4 linked regions of the Saccharomyces cerevisiae S288C genome follow. Changing the gene in region 4 together with the main gene of any one other region gives a genetic interaction. Each region holds a gene or a part of one and is shown on either strand. Other genes may lie near its edges.

The links.
Region 1: of RHO3 (region 4) and BOI2, extra expression of one rescues a mutant of the other (dosage rescue), as found in Saccharomyces cerevisiae (3 studies listed by BioGRID, with this or other methods).
Region 2: of RHO3 (region 4) and SLG1, a mutation in one rescues a mutant of the other (synthetic rescue), as found in Saccharomyces cerevisiae (2 studies listed by BioGRID, with this or other methods).
Region 3: of RHO3 (region 4) and SRO9, extra expression of one rescues a mutant of the other (dosage rescue), as found in Saccharomyces cerevisiae (one study listed by BioGRID).

Annotation. Positions count from the first base shown.
Region 1 is NC_001137.3:390,021-395,335, forward strand, and holds BOI2 (Boi2p), read right to left. Parts: upstream 3,693-5,315; coding exon 570-3,692; downstream 1-569. Other genes in the region: TMN3 (Tmn3p), read right to left, coding at 1-32; SPR6 (Spr6p), read right to left, coding at 4,272-4,847. UniProt on the Saccharomyces cerevisiae protein: Protein involved in bud formation. Functions redundantly with BOI1 to promote the fusion of secretory vesicles with the plasma membrane at sites of polarized growth. Acts as an abscission inhibitor during cytokinesis in response to chromatin bridges.
Region 2 is NC_001147.6:340,709-344,046, forward strand, and holds SLG1 (Slg1p), read right to left. Parts: upstream 1,707-3,338; coding exon 570-1,706; downstream 1-569. Other genes in the region: YOR008C-A (uncharacterized protein), read right to left, coding at 2,149-2,373. UniProt on the Saccharomyces cerevisiae protein: Plays a role during G1 to regulate entering or exiting the cell cycle. Involved in stress responses. Has a role in cell wall integrity signaling. Activates ROM1 or ROM2 catalyzed guanine nucleotide exchange toward RHO1.
Region 3 is NC_001135.5:56,858-60,263, reverse strand, and holds SRO9 (Sro9p), read left to right. Parts: upstream 1-1,585; coding exon 1,586-2,890; downstream 2,891-3,406. Other genes in the region: GFD2 (Gfd2p), read right to left, coding at 1-1,238. UniProt on the Saccharomyces cerevisiae protein: May overlap in function with tropomyosin and may be involved in organization of actin filaments. Acts as a multicopy suppressor of RHO3 mutation. RNA-binding protein which may modulate mRNA translation.
Region 4 is NC_001141.2:138,168-140,968, reverse strand, and holds RHO3 (Rho family GTPase RHO3), read right to left. Parts: upstream 1,218-2,801; coding exon 522-1,217; downstream 1-521. Other genes in the region: pheromone-regulated protein PRM5, read left to right, coding at 1-356. UniProt on the Saccharomyces cerevisiae protein: Plays an important role in cell growth. Required to keep the uninucleated state. Modulates morphogenesis during bud growth via directing organization of the actin cytoskeleton and the position of the secretory machinery for exocytosis.

The sequences.
Region 1 (5,315 bases), on a different chromosome or scaffold from region 4:
GTTATGACCGACCTCTTTGGTCTTACTCTCATTTTTTCTCGTTTCGGTTCACGTCTTTATATTAGTGCTTCAGTACCTGATGCAAGAAATTCAAACGGAGAGGAAGCAGTCTAGTGAAGAAAAAGCGTAGATATACTACTATGCAATTTTGAAAAATAATACGTTGCTTTGTTCATCGAAGCAAACGAACGAGGTGCTTTGGAATGTAGATCTTAGAGTGGAAAAAAGTAAAACAAAAAAAAAAAAAATTGAAATATATTTTCCATTTTCGCGAATGCGATTTCGACAAATTAGAGACCTCTTAGAAGGGTCCTAAAATTTTAATAGCCTTGAAACAGAAGTCACTAAACAGATTAACGGCATCTTTTGTTTAGCTTTCTTGTAAATTATATATGGTTACAAACCCCAATCCCTAACCTCACGCAAGTAAAACTATATAGAATAACATTTAAAGGATCATCGGCATCCTTTCATTTTCAAATAACTCCATTCTTTTTTGCCCATGAGAACAATAGCTTAATGAGTTTATGCATCAAATTTGAGGCGCATCTTTTTCAATAGCTTTAAAATTATATTTTGTCGGTTTTATGTTTTGAATTATCCCCGAAGTAATCCTCTTCCGTTGAGAATTTACCCTTTTTCTCTGTTCCACGCATACTACTATTGCGAGCCACTCCAGGCGATAACAATCCGGAAGCTAGTAAGAACGGACTGGAAAATCCATTTGAGCCAATGGTTGTATTGTTAGCAGAGGACAAATTCGGAGTAGATATAGTATTATCCTCGTCGGAAGTTCGTTGGGTTGACGCTGATATTGTGCGATCAGCTTGCCCTTGATTATTGTCATGTTGCTGCTGTTGAAGCTGCTGTTGATCCCATAAAAACTGGTCCTCATCTTCCTCGTTCTCTAGCATTTGCTGTTCCCTTAGCTTGGTCTCTTCTCTCGCTTCTGCTAACATCTCTTGCGCTTTGCTCAAGGAAACCGTAGGTGTTGTATAGGAACTGATAATTGGCACTGATGTGTCGATATCAATGGTGGTTTTAATTAGTGCAGCCATCCAACCTCTCATCTCTTCTTTATTATCTACTGCAAAATAGTGCGTGCGAGGTTGTGTAAATGTCAAACCTTTCTTTGATCCTGGTTGCGGAGGTAATAGTTTGAAACAATACCGTCCTTTACCTGTACTGGCTGCATATAATGAAACTAGTTTATCATCTTCCTTAGCAGGCACAACGCGATGAGCAGTAATGTCGATAAGACCTCTTTCTCTCGTGTCCGTAGTGGAGCTGAAGTATGACAATCTAGTACCATGCAATGTGAAAAATCTCGTCTTCCAAGTACTCATGGCACCGCTGCCTTTCTTGCTCATCCAACCAGAAAAGTCAGCATCCTTCATTGCCTCTTTAACACTAATACTCCTTAAACCTTCTATAAATGCAGAAGTTTGCTTTTTCTTGGCTACAGGTCTAGCGGTCATTTGACGCAAGCTTTTGCCCTTGAGCGTTTCACCTTTAATAGCCTCACTCGCAGACCTCTTATTTTTATCATCTTTCACAGTTTCGGTAAAGATTTCAGCTTCCTTTGCGCTAACTGATCTTCTTTTAGATCTACTCTTTTTGGAAGACTTTTTATCAACTATCGGTGAGCTGTTTTTTTCTGACGGCATTGAGGTTATGGGATTCTCTTCAGGACTTGAAGAGCGAGCAGCATTATCAGTAAATTGTTGCCTAAAGGGACTTAGCATGAAGGAACTTTTTTTGAATGAACTAGTTCGCGATGCACTGCTGCTTCTCTTTAAAGACGAGTTCCTCCTGGAATCGCTTTTTGATTTAGAAGATAATGAAGACGAGTGTCTCGTTGGTTTTTTCTTCCCCTCCTTCTCATGTGCCAATTTGTCATTACTTATGGATGCAATGGTAGATCCATCAGCGTATATACTGGACGTGGGTCTTTCGAATGTGTTCATTGTTTCTTGAAACTGCTCTTCCTCATGGCTGGAACAAGAGGATTTTCTATCCGAAGAAGATTCAGGAGCGTATCCATAATAAGGGACAGAATTCCTCTTCGAAGACGATGTTAGCTTGCCTTCACTATCTTCATTTCTAACAGAATTACGGGTGGGGGATGGAATAGGTGACAACGCCTTCCCACCGCCTTGGTTGTTCTTTGGGAGTGCGGAACGGGAATTGAAATTAGAATCTGATGAAGAATATTGATCGATATAAGAAGTTCTTTTAGGCCCTGAGAAAGATAAAGTAGGTGATTGCCATGAATAAAGTTGAGCAGGAGAAGGTGACGTCCTTGTGTTATTCAATAGGGGCGATTTTGGAGGTTGTGCTGGACTAGGGTAAGATGGGGGTTTGGGGGCTCTCCTCGGAGAAACAAACAAATTTTCATTACCTGCCATTTCCTCTACCACCTGAGGAATTTGAACATCTGGAGCTATATTAGCATTAGCCTCTTGTGAATCAAAAACTAAAGATTTAGGCCGGTGCTTGGAAGCTGAGGAGTTCCTAGTATTTCTGGGAGTGGGGATAAAATTCTGTTGTGACGGAAGGTCCTCTAACGACTGTGAAGTCTTTCTAACATGGCCTCTGTAGGAAGCTCTCTGGTCAACGTTTGCGGGAGGCATCAATTGGTTATAAATGTTAGCGTTATTGGTCTTACTAGCTCTATTCAGGGAGCGGCCATTAGTTCTAATAGCCTCTTTGATTTTTTCTATTTCTTTGAAAATCTCAAATCTTGTCCCAAAAGAATTTATGTCCAACTCTTTTAAATGAACAAGCTCTAATTCTAACAAAATTTTACCCGATATTTTGTGCTTCTGGAATCTAGAGGCAGATTGGACATCGTATCCTTCCATAATAAAATAAGCTGTTATTTCTTCGGGTGACCAAAACTCTGCTTCTACAGGGTTCAATTTAGTAGTATCAATTCCATTAATTAAAGTAGCTTGATTTTCCAAATCTCCGTTCAGGAACCCAGTAGAACTACTCGTTGTTGGCTTACTGTTAGATTCGACTACATCCAGTCCATCAGTGGCTGATAGAATTGTTTCATGCGTAATGCTATGTTCCTCGTCTCTGCCCGAATTGATGAAACGATCTGGTGGACCTATAGAGTCGTCTTTAAACTCCAGTAGTGCATTGTCTATGTCACTCATTGTATTCTTTAAAGACAAGTTTCTTTCGATCTTTCCATTGGCAGTTCTCGAAATAGAGGCGGCGGTTTCAATTGGTTGCGGGGTTGGCAGTTCACTGTTTGAATCGTTTTCACTGATAAAAGTGCTGGAAAGAAGAGGATCTTCATTGGTTAATGGACTATATATCCTTTTGGTAGACTTGGCTCTCATCAATGTCGGAGCCTTCTCCACTGTTATCTTTTGAGTAAAGACCACCGGATATAAACCTTCCTCATTGGTTCTCAGATTTCGACCAAAATACCAGCCATCCTTGTATTCTTCGTCATCAGTTATTACTTTGATCTTGTCACCGGGCTTCATATCTAGTTCATCTTCCATTCGCTTAAAATACTCATTAATGGCAATATACATTGGGAAATTGCCACCGTCACGCCCGGTTGCACTTCCTTTGCTGTCAAAATCCGGTGACAAAGTGTCCGATACGTCTTTATCTCTGCTGACAGTTGTGTTGAGCTGCGAGAGTGTGGGTACTTCCCTGTCATTACTCATCTTTATATGTTCAAATTTTTTGCGGAGAAGTTGGTATGATTCAATAAATATGTGGCTAAAAATGAAAAGTTAAAACTGAAAAAGCAGTTACAGTCTTTTTGACCACTCTAAAAAAAAGTGTAAGCAGAAGGGAATTACGCAAATAGTGTTAAAAGCAACTTTAATATCTGTTGTCTTTAAAAACTGCTAAGTTTTATCGTGGGGCTAACTATCGCTTAAAAGGAAAGAGTAAATATGGCTAGTCTAACACTAAATATTAAAACCAGCTTTTTTCAACGCTTCTAAATAGGGAGACCTTACTTTCTTGACGAATTTGTCCTCATCAATCTGAGCATTTTGAATAGCGGCTGTGATAAGTTTTGTTTTTTTTTAAAAAAAAAAAAGAAGGTCTCCTTCTTCGTTCATACCGCATCGATCTAGAACGATGGGAAAAAAAGGCACCACGTGACTAGAGAATCACCTTTTTAGCGAAATATTTGTTTACTACCCTATGCATCTTGCGATGAGAAGCTACATGGAAAAGGGACCTATAATTTAGTTATCTTACAAAGTTTATTTATGGAATTGTTTCTCCTGTGTTTAAAAATATAGGGATGAAAACTCATCGGCTATACTGTCATAGACCCGTGTGGAGGAGGCAGCGCAACCAAGTACAGCAGACTGGTCACAACTAAACCGAGCTAGTGGACTTGGAAAGAGGGTAGCTTGCTGACATGCACACCTCTCCCCGGGTTTTGGATGGACACCATGTTTTATGCCGTGGAGCGGGCACCTGGTACCTCTCAAATCTCTGATTCCTGCAAAATTTCCGAAACGTAGAGTCACGGGTCCTGACAAGCAACCATGCTCCAGAGTGATTGGTTTCCTTGATTTTTTTTGCTTTTTCAAAAATTTCTTAACGTGGGTTTTCTTCTTCCTACTTGGACTCATCCCCTGAAGGTAATTCTGCTGCTTATTTGGGTCACACGCGCCCTGTAGCAACAATTCAATCATCCTGTCATTAAGTATATCTTGAATATCATTACATCTTCTTTTCAATAATATTTCTGCTGTAAATGATGACTTTACATTTTGTGAACAGTTATTGGTATACAGAGGATAAATCCAATGTAAATTGGAGGAAGAGTACGATTGCCATATATTAGAAACAGCCATATACAAGTTTGAACAAAATACAACTCAAAGTAAAATGGTAGCTGCACGACAAAAAGTAATTCCTTGAATTTTATTTATGTTGTACCTGGTAACCTTAATTTTTTTTTTTCTTTTCTTTGTAATACCTTAGCTCTGGTTATATGCTTGGTCCCCTTAATTGTTTATGTACCCACTACACATTAATATTGAGGGGAGGATTAAATACATACTCTGCCTTGATTAGTGCCTCTTTTTCTTTTGTCCTTTTTCCTTCATTTATAGCCATTTTTGTGTAGATGGTCCAAATTCCTCGGAGTGCTTTGTTTAATCAGAAAAAGTATCAATGAGCAGGAAGCAAAAAAAAAAAAGGTAAAAATTTACGATTGTGCTGGGGTTAAAGAACTCTCATCTCCTGATGAAAACCCGGCTACTCCATAGAATCTTCTTTTGAGTATGCCTGTAAAACGTACTTTAATAAAGAGAACACTC
Region 2 (3,338 bases), on a different chromosome or scaffold from region 4:
TCACGTCTTCCTCCTTTTTCATGCATTACTACTCACGCATCCTATCACATAATCAATCCTTGCGCTTCAATTTCATTAGATTGAAGAAAATATGAATATAAATTTATTAATCTCCTACTTTATATCGTCTTTCAACGCGGTATTTTTTTAATAATTTCTAGTAAAGTGGTTATTGTCACTAGAAGATAATTAGCTATTAGTTTCATAACAATTTGTTATTTTGAAAATGTATAGTTTTATTAGGTGGTATTCATTTCAAAGAATTAACATGTTTAATGTTTGTTAAATCTATGTAACTAAGTTAAGGTTGGTATTCAAATATATCATAAAAAAATTAATGAGTAGAAAAAAAAATAACTAATCTAATTTTGTTGTTCCTATTTAATGTTCCTCGTTACTTCCAGCTCTCCAGCTCTCAAATTCGAAATGTATGAATTTTTAGAGGATCATCATAATGTGAAAATGGAGATGATTTGGCAAAATGAAATCGGAAAAAGAAAAAATTAATGGGAAGGAACAAGACTTGCTTGGCAATAGTTTAAGAATATAATAATTTTTTTTGGGTTTCTTCAATCAGCTTCGTCTGGATTGACCACTGTTAAAACGTTGTTTTTCCCTCCTGGTCCGCCATTTATGAATGTTCCGTTACTTATTCTCCTTGAGTCGTCGAAAGGGTTAATATCAGTTTGCCCTTTGGTGTGCTCCTCCTCGAAGCTACCTGAAGAGGGCCCGTGATTAGATGAAAATGAAGAGGCGTATAGTTTATCAGGGTACTCAACTGGTTTTATCGCCTCTTGGTATTCCTTTTCCATCCTGTCTTGTTCCCGCTTCATATTAATGTGTCTGACAATCAACAAGATACAAAGAGCAATGGCTACGGCTCCCACTACACCACCTACAACGCCGCCTACAATTGCCCCTACATTGGCTTTCTTTTTATGAGTTTTACTTCCACTCGTAGAGTCAGATCCAGCTGTACCTGTGGCCGATCCTGAATTCTGTGCACTTGCCGTGATGGTGTTCGTGACAAAAATTGTGGAACCGCCCTCAGTGTGAAAAGTAGTGGAATAGATTATCGAAGTGGCGTCCTGTGATTGAGAGCTAGTACTGCTCGTTGCCAAAGTATCCGAAGTTAGCGAGCTTTCTGACGTTACAGTGCTCGAACTCTGTGACGTTGAAATAGAGGCAGCTGCTTGAGTTGACTCGGGGGAATTCTGTACTGTAGAGGAAGACGCCATTGATGATGTAGTTGATGATGTAGTCGATGATGTAGTTGATGTTGTGGAGGACGTTGTTGAAGAAGTTGTGGAAGACGACGCAGAAGTAGACTCCGTACTTGAATCTGAGCTGCTTATGCTATTGCTATTTGTGTCAGAGTCAAGTTGGTACACAGAATAGGCATCTTCACCACCACACATCTCACTGCTGTAACCAAAGCAATACGTATTACATGAAGAGGAAGTAGATTCCGAACCAGATGGATTAGTATCACCACAATAACATTCTGAATGATTATAAAGGGCAAAGTAGCTTGCACCTTTTGCGCTACACTCACTGTTACAGTGTGAACTCGACTGCCAGTTATATGAATCGGCCTTTGAAAAGTCAGAGGGTAGTGAGCTAAAACAATTCACGTATTCATAGGCGTTCGCTTGCGATAAAATGGATAATAACGCCAGAAGCAGACTTGTTTTGTTCGGTCTCATTATTTAAATAGAATTTTTTATCCTGAGTACTAAATCAGCCAACGTACTATCCTGAATAAATGTGATGCAGATTCCTTTTTCTCCTCTTGGTTATCTCTCTTTTTCTCTCTCCTTATTAAAAAATTTACGGACAACGAGGAGCTTCTTTCTTGTTTACCTTGATTACCCTTTAAGCAATAACAATATCAATACGAGATTTTCTGTAATGTTAGTGCCTGGTCGAGTTTACTGTATCGTCCAAGAAAACTACACTGCGTTAAATTCTTCCAAATGAGGCTATGATACGCCAAACACTTTTATTTTTCCCCTCCGTTTCTCTCGCTTTCGCTTCGAAAATTACATTATTTTCTTCCCCATGCAGCGTTATTTCCATCTTCAGAGAGGAAAGGCGGAGAAAATTTTTCTTGAGGAAGGAATTCTACGAAAGTAGTCAACTATATTACTAATCGTTTGACATAGAATGCCAAAGTTGCAGCTTTTCCACTAACGTCAAATTTGCGTAACAAGCGCTGCTGTGTAAACTGTCTTGCTTTTTAATAGGACTGACAAAAATTATAAGCGGAGAGATAATATTTAATACTGCCATTGACCTTAGTACCGGTACAGGACAATATGTTTGTATCCTTGGTGTCATAAAGAAGAGAAAAACAAGATAAGATCTCCACATTATTTTGCAGAAGGCGACTTTGGGGGCCGATGATATCTGCTTCCAGAAGTATGTAAAAAAATTACACACCATTAAGTTCTTATGTAAACCGAAGTCTGGAAGAGAGGTGGTGGAATTTCCAGTCTGCTACTAGGCAAAAAACTTGAAACACTTTCATATATGATGTTGTTTTGCCGAGCTATTACAAGACGATTTATCATAAACTACTTGCTTGAGCAGGAACGATTTCACAATCTGTTTAGCAGGTTGTTATGAAGTAGACACGATAAAGTTCTTGAAGAAAGATTGTGGATGGGTTTGCTGAAGCTTAGAACTAAGAAAAGAAACAAGCACGCGCAAGAAAACCGCTACGGCTAACTTCTAAGGTGAGGATATTGTGATTGTTTATGCCTCATATTTTGCGTTTTTATATGTTCTTCCTTCATACGGCGTGCAAATTATCCGCCGGCGAACAGGGTGCTATTCTAAAAGGAACTTTGAAACTGTAAACGCGGTGTACTGAAGGGGTCATCTGAACGAACAATATTTTATGCTTTTGTTAGCCAAACGGTACTGATAAGGGACTGTGAAAAAAAAAAGACAATGTATGGGGTTCACGGTTTCCCAGATTCGTGTGTGTGTAATAATTCGTTTACGGCGCACGACAGACACTTCAGGAAATTTAAAGATCAGAATAGGCATACACTCCGCGCAAGGAAAACAAAAGTTGCTACCGTAACCGGCTCGTACGGGGAAAGCAAGGTCATCTAGTGCTCACTTACGAACTGGCATAATCGAGTTGTGACTTCCAAACTTAACCGTACTCTCACAGCTGATGTGATCCGAAGAAAACCCTGAAGATACAACAATGGCAACCAAAGGCAACTTAAAAAGGCAAACGAAGTACTTTTCAACAATAGCTTACACTGAAACTCGCGGAGAGGCGACGCTGCGCGCGAATTATCAGTAAAAATCTCGTAACAACC
Region 3 (3,406 bases), on a different chromosome or scaffold from region 4:
TGGTCCAGATGGCCTTCATACCCTCTGCCAGGGAATTTGACACCAATAGTCTCCAGCCACTTAAGATCCCCGCTCACGTGATGACCAACAAATGCCCTTGACCATGTCTTGTCTTCTTCGGTCACCGGGACCAAGTAATAGTTTATTAGTGATTGAATGAAATGCACGCACTCTTTCAAGCTCAAAACATAGCTTTCTCCCAATAAGTAGCAATCCTTGTAGTCACAGACCCATTTTTGGTTTCTAAGTTCCAGGGACTCCTCGATAATTAGGTGGTAATTCTTTGTAATTGGAACCATTGACGGCACCATATTTTCCCTGGGGTCATAAATTGAAATCCCAATTTCGGTGATTACGTTCTGGTTTGTTTCGAAAGCCTCTATATCAAGACAAAAGCATATTGCTCTCTGAGAGGCCATCAGCCTGATGCATTTCTCCAGATAAGCAAATTCATTCGAGCGTGAATGTGCTTCCACCATGGGCCAGAACGTCTTCCTCACGCTGTTTTTCTCGTCAGCCAGTAGTTTCTGTTCTGTCTCTAGGAGCTTGATGGTACCATTCATTCCTAACATTTTCTTCTGAATGGCTTCGAACCAAGCGGTGTCGCTCATTCCTTTGGGCTGCGGACAGATACAGTTGGCTCGGTCCTCTTTGGTCAATGGAGACAGCCGCTGTGATCTTTTGGACCTGGGTGGTACGATCGTGTCGCTTAATCTTTTCAAAAACCGGCGTTCTTCCACGAGTTTTTCCAGTTTTGCATGCACATCACCATGTACCATATGCCATTCACTGTCCACCTGCGCCAGTTTGGCTTCCAATTGCGCCCTGGATTGTCCATAGGAGGCATCAAACTTCTGCCTCATCTCCGCCACATATGCATCGATCATGGGCTTCCTTAGTTGGTCCAATTCCTTAGAAAACGCGGTCTTTCTCAACTGTACATAGTAATCTATCTGGTCCAGCCAATTGCACTTAGCACGGTCCCAGGGCGTATTCAATTGGGTCCTGGCATCCAGAAACGCCTCCACACAGCCCGCGATCTTGCCGCTTCCTGTTCGGTCCTTCACTAATCCTCTGACAGAGAGCGTCCCATTACTTAGTTTTGTTGCCAAAGCACCGGTATTACCGCTTCTGGAACGATAACGGGGGCCTGCGCCGTTATTATTCCTCCTCTCCCAATGGACGCTTTTATCGCTACCGTTATTACTGTTATCTCTCACCATTTTTTGAACCTGCATGTGGATCTGGACTCTCGAGCAAGACCCAAGTTCTCATTGCCTCCTTTCCTTCTTCCCTTCTTATATGTTGTCTTGTTGAACCTCAAAACACTAGCGGATAATACGGATTTTGAGGGATGCTCATCGCAAATTTTTCAGAAATGGTGCACGGATGTACCCACGCAATGAAAAATTTTTTTCACTTCTGGTAGGTCAAGAACAAAGAAAGAAAAGTACAAGTGTAAACATTTCTTAACATCTTTTTCGGTTTTATGAAGATCTTTTGGGATCCTAGATCGGTAATAGAACATCAGGATTACTCTGGACCTGCTAACGTGTTTCATCTTCTTTTCACTTCTCTGCCCACGATGTCTGCTGAAACCGCCGCCGCAAACACTGCTACTGCCCCAGTCCCAGAAGTGCAAGAACAAGAGAGCTCCAAGAGCAAGCAAGTCAACTTGACGCCGGCACCATTGCCCACATCTTCCCCATGGAAACTTGCTCCTACTGAGATCCCTGTTTCTACTATCTCAATAGAAGACTTGGATGCCACAAGAAAGAAGAAGAACAGAACACCCACTCCGAAATCATCGACTGCTACCAAGTGGGTTCCCATCAAGGCCTCCATTACCGTCTCTGGCACCAAAAGATCCGGTTCCAAGAATGGTGCAAGTAATGGCAACAGCAACAAGAGCAAAAACAACAAAACTGCAGCATCGTCGACATCGTCGAGTAATGCTAACAGGAAAAAGAAGCATCACCAACATAATGCTAAGAAGCAACAACAAATGAAGAAAGATGGCTTTGAATCGGCAGTAGGTGAGGAAGATTCAAAAGACGCTACCTCTCAAGAAAATGGTCAATCTACACAACAGCAACAACCACCTCACCACCGTAATCATCACCACAGTCATCACCATAACAGCAATGGTCCTCAAAGGAGAAAGTTCCACAACAGTAATAACGCCGGTATGCCTCAGAACCAAGGCTTCCCACCACAGTTTAAACCTTACCAAGGACGCAACGCTCGTAATAACAACAACAACCGCTCTAAATACCACAACCACTTCCATCACAACCAACAACATCCTCAACAACCTATGGTCAAATTACAGCAACAGTTTTATCCAGTCCAACCAGTGTTAATGGCCATCAACAACATTGCTAGACAAATTGAATACTATTTCAGCGAAGAAAACTTGACCGTCGACAATTACTTAAGGTCCAAACTCTCCAAGGATGGTTTTGCTCCATTGTCTTTAATCTCTAAGTTTTACAGAGTTGTTAACATGTCCTTCGGAGGTGACACTAACCTGATTTTAGCCGCATTGAGAGAAATTGTCGCTAACGAAGCCGCTACCGTCAATGTTGCAGAAGGTACTTTGGCCGCCAAGGAAGGTGATAACGTTACCGGTGAAGCCAAAGAACCATCTCCATTGGATAAGTACTTCGTTCGTTCCAAGAGCTGGTCAAACTGGTTACCAGAAACTTTTGAAACTGAAATTAATATTGAAAAAGAACTGGTCGGCGATGCATTGGACCAATTCATGATATCCCTACCACCTGTTCCTCAACAAGAAGAGGAATCATCCACTGAACTCGCTTCTCAAGAACAAGAAACCAAAGAAGACTCTGCGCCGGTTGCTGCCGGTGAATCCGAGTCTTCCTTATAAAGGCCTCTCACACTTGCAAAATAAAAAATGGATTCGTTCATTGCATTTTACACAAAAAACCATAAAAAATTGAAAAACCTAATAATTAAAAAAATTAAAAGTTAATCATCCTCCAGCAAAGCTGTTTTTTTTTTGTTTTTTTTTTTTTTTTTGTTTTTTTATCCATTTTTTTCATTTGTTCCATCAGTTTAATACGAAAGAGAAAATAAAAATAAAAACTTTGAACAATTTTCATGTTTTGAATTCATTGTACATTATCATCATAAGCAATAAGATACAAATATTTATGTTTTTTTTTTTTTGTTTTTTTTTTTTTTTAAGATATAAAAATACTAGCCTCTTCTCACTTCGTTTTCTCTCTGTCTAAGTGGCTACCATCATGAGATATGATATTCTTTCTTCTCCCTGCGCAATTCTTAAACCACCTGCTTTTTTTATTCAATTTTTTGCTAATTTAATAATTGGGAAGAAGATATGAAAAATGCCTATTTTACTCTAAGCAATTCATATGTAAAA
Region 4 (2,801 bases):
ATATCTTATACAAAACAAGGCTATCTAAACTTTACCAAGAAAGCCCTAGATTATTACAGAAACCTGTGATTATGACAAGTGATAATGTATCTACAAATTCTCTGGTGTCTACAATCTCTTCATCATCCGCATCGTCGCTCGATAACGGTAATGAAAAGGAGGTGGGTGAAGACATAAGGAAACCCGCAAAAATTGCATCTTCACCAAGTCGAAAGCTGCTTAATTCACCAGAAAGTGATGGTAGCGTAAATCGTAACCATAGTAAGGGTAATTTGTTGGTCGTACAGTCCAAAAGAAAACCTACACCTTCGACTTATCTCGAGCACATGCTGGAGGGGAAAGAACAGGATGAGTAAAAACTTTTATGATATTTTGCAATATTTTTTTTAAGCAGTGGTAGTAATTACATAAAAAATATAAAATAGTAGGAGTATTATTAACTTCTATAACTTATTATATTATTTGTTTAGTCTCTCTTTTTGGGTTCTATTCTTTTGTGTGTGCGTCCGTGTCTTATTATATTACATAATGGTACAGCTGGATCCACTGTCACTTTTCACTTCGGTTGCTACTGGGCCCGCGGTTAAAGCAACTCTTGCGGCTTCTGTGAAAGCTTCGTTGACACCTTTATTCAGCTTAGCGCTACATTCCAAATAACGTAGCGCACCGATCTTTTTAGCCATAGCTAGACCTTCTTCATAACTTATCAGGTTTTTGCCGTTTGAGGTGCTATTTATGTTATTTCCGTTGTCGTTAGAAACGCTGTTATCCTGTTGGATATTGTTCGGTGTGATTGCGTTAGATTCATTTTCATTGTTTCTTAAGTCACACTTTAGTGCAACTAAGACTAACTTGACGCCTTCACAATGATCAGTGATTTCACCCACCCATTTATTTTGGACATTTTCTAAAGAATCGCGTGAATCAATACTGAAACATAACATTATACATTGCGTATCTGAATAAGACAAGGATCGTAACCTGTCAAATTCCTCTTGGCCCGCAGTATCCCACAACGATAGCGTGATATGTTTACTGTCAACGAAAATATCATGGATATAGTTTTCAAAAACAGTAGGCTCATAAACTTCGGGAAAATAACCTCTGGTGAAAACATTCAGCAACGAAGTTTTACCACAGGCACCGTCGCCCAAAATAACGATCTTTCTTTCGATCGGTTTATTTGACGTTGAAGCTGACCCACATAGAAATGACATGTTTGTTTCCCTTTACCTTGTGCTACTATGGATTTTAATGAAAAACTTGTTGTTATAAAGTAAAAAATGCTGACCAGAGCTAGAGATGAGAACGATAAAAAAACGAAAATCAATGGTTGCCTATTTTCCAGTAAATTCAAAATAATACATGTTTTTTCTTTCTTTTTCTTTTCTTTTTACTGTTTACCAATTTTCAGGAATGTTAAGAAAGATAAAAGAAATATACAAGATGCCATTAACGGGTAATGGCACCAGTATATCTATGACGGGTAATCCTGTTAGTGGATGTCAAAAAACGTTCTTGGGGTTTCCCGGACGCCTTACACTATTTTGTAAAAAAGCTCATCCACACCCCTCTCCTTGTATTTCTTATCTATAATCTACTATTTCTCGCGTAGGTGCGGTAACGCTGTTCCAAGAAAAAAGTTGGCCGACGACTGGTTCTGGGCCGGGCTCGACCGGAAGTGGTAAGTGGCCTCAATTTGAGTTTCGCTTACTCCTTCCATTCTTACAACACACCCGAAGTTTAATTCACGTGACCAGATAAGGGATTTATTATATGTTTATTGTAAAAAAAATAAGGTAGATAGACATATTACATTTCCTCGTGCTTATCGAAGTATTTTTCTTAGACATCTCGCATGACCACAATGCTGGCTCGAAGGCATTTACTCTTTCCTTGGGGAGATGTGCTTACTGTGATTGATTATGTATTCTTGCGTGCATCTGCAAATCTGCGTTGACTAATTTCGGAGTCTTTTAAACACAGAAGCATTACAGGCCCCTCTCCTCACTTGTGCCCAGTATGCAAGTGTGCTTTCCTGTGAAAACTCCTTCATTTTCTTTTCTTACGCATATGCATAGTCGGATTCCAGCTATTTCCATAGTAAAGAAGAAGAAAAAGTAAATACTTCCTTTTCACATGGGCCGGCCGATGCAGGTCCTCAGGTACTTCGTTTATAAGCTTATATAAGCATGCAAAATTAAACGAGGTGGCTGCTTTAAGAGCGTGCAGAATATAGTCACTTACTACCCTAAGTTAGGACTTTGTCTTAGGAACAAACACATCAAAAATGTGCAGAACAACAAGCCCGCGGGGGTTTTTGCGGTTGACTACTCCTGCTTCATGTCTTTTCTCCCCTGCCATTTGTGCTTCTGGATTTGCTTGAAGGTAACCTTAAAGGATCTGCGCATCTTTCTCTTACGAAAACAAGTATAAGATTTTGCCTGGGCAAACTTAAATTACGGAAAAAGGAGTCGTCGAGAATGTTGCCCTTCCACATTTGGATTAGCTGATAAACGTAAATTGGGGGGGGGGGGGGTCGGTTAAATTTTGTCGACGGGAATGGAATTTTCTCTGGTATTTGCCGCAGCTTGCAGATAGTAGAGCCGATCTTGTGAGGTTAACACCGCATATGGCATTCTGTTGCAAAGTTAAAATGCGTCACCCACCCTAGCGCCTAGGGTCGAGTACTGTTTTAAACTTTTTCAAGACCGGGCGTACCATTGTGCTTGTTCCTTACTTCGTTATTTTCTTGCATATTATATTGGTTGAGATTATTTCTATGGACTATATATAAATAA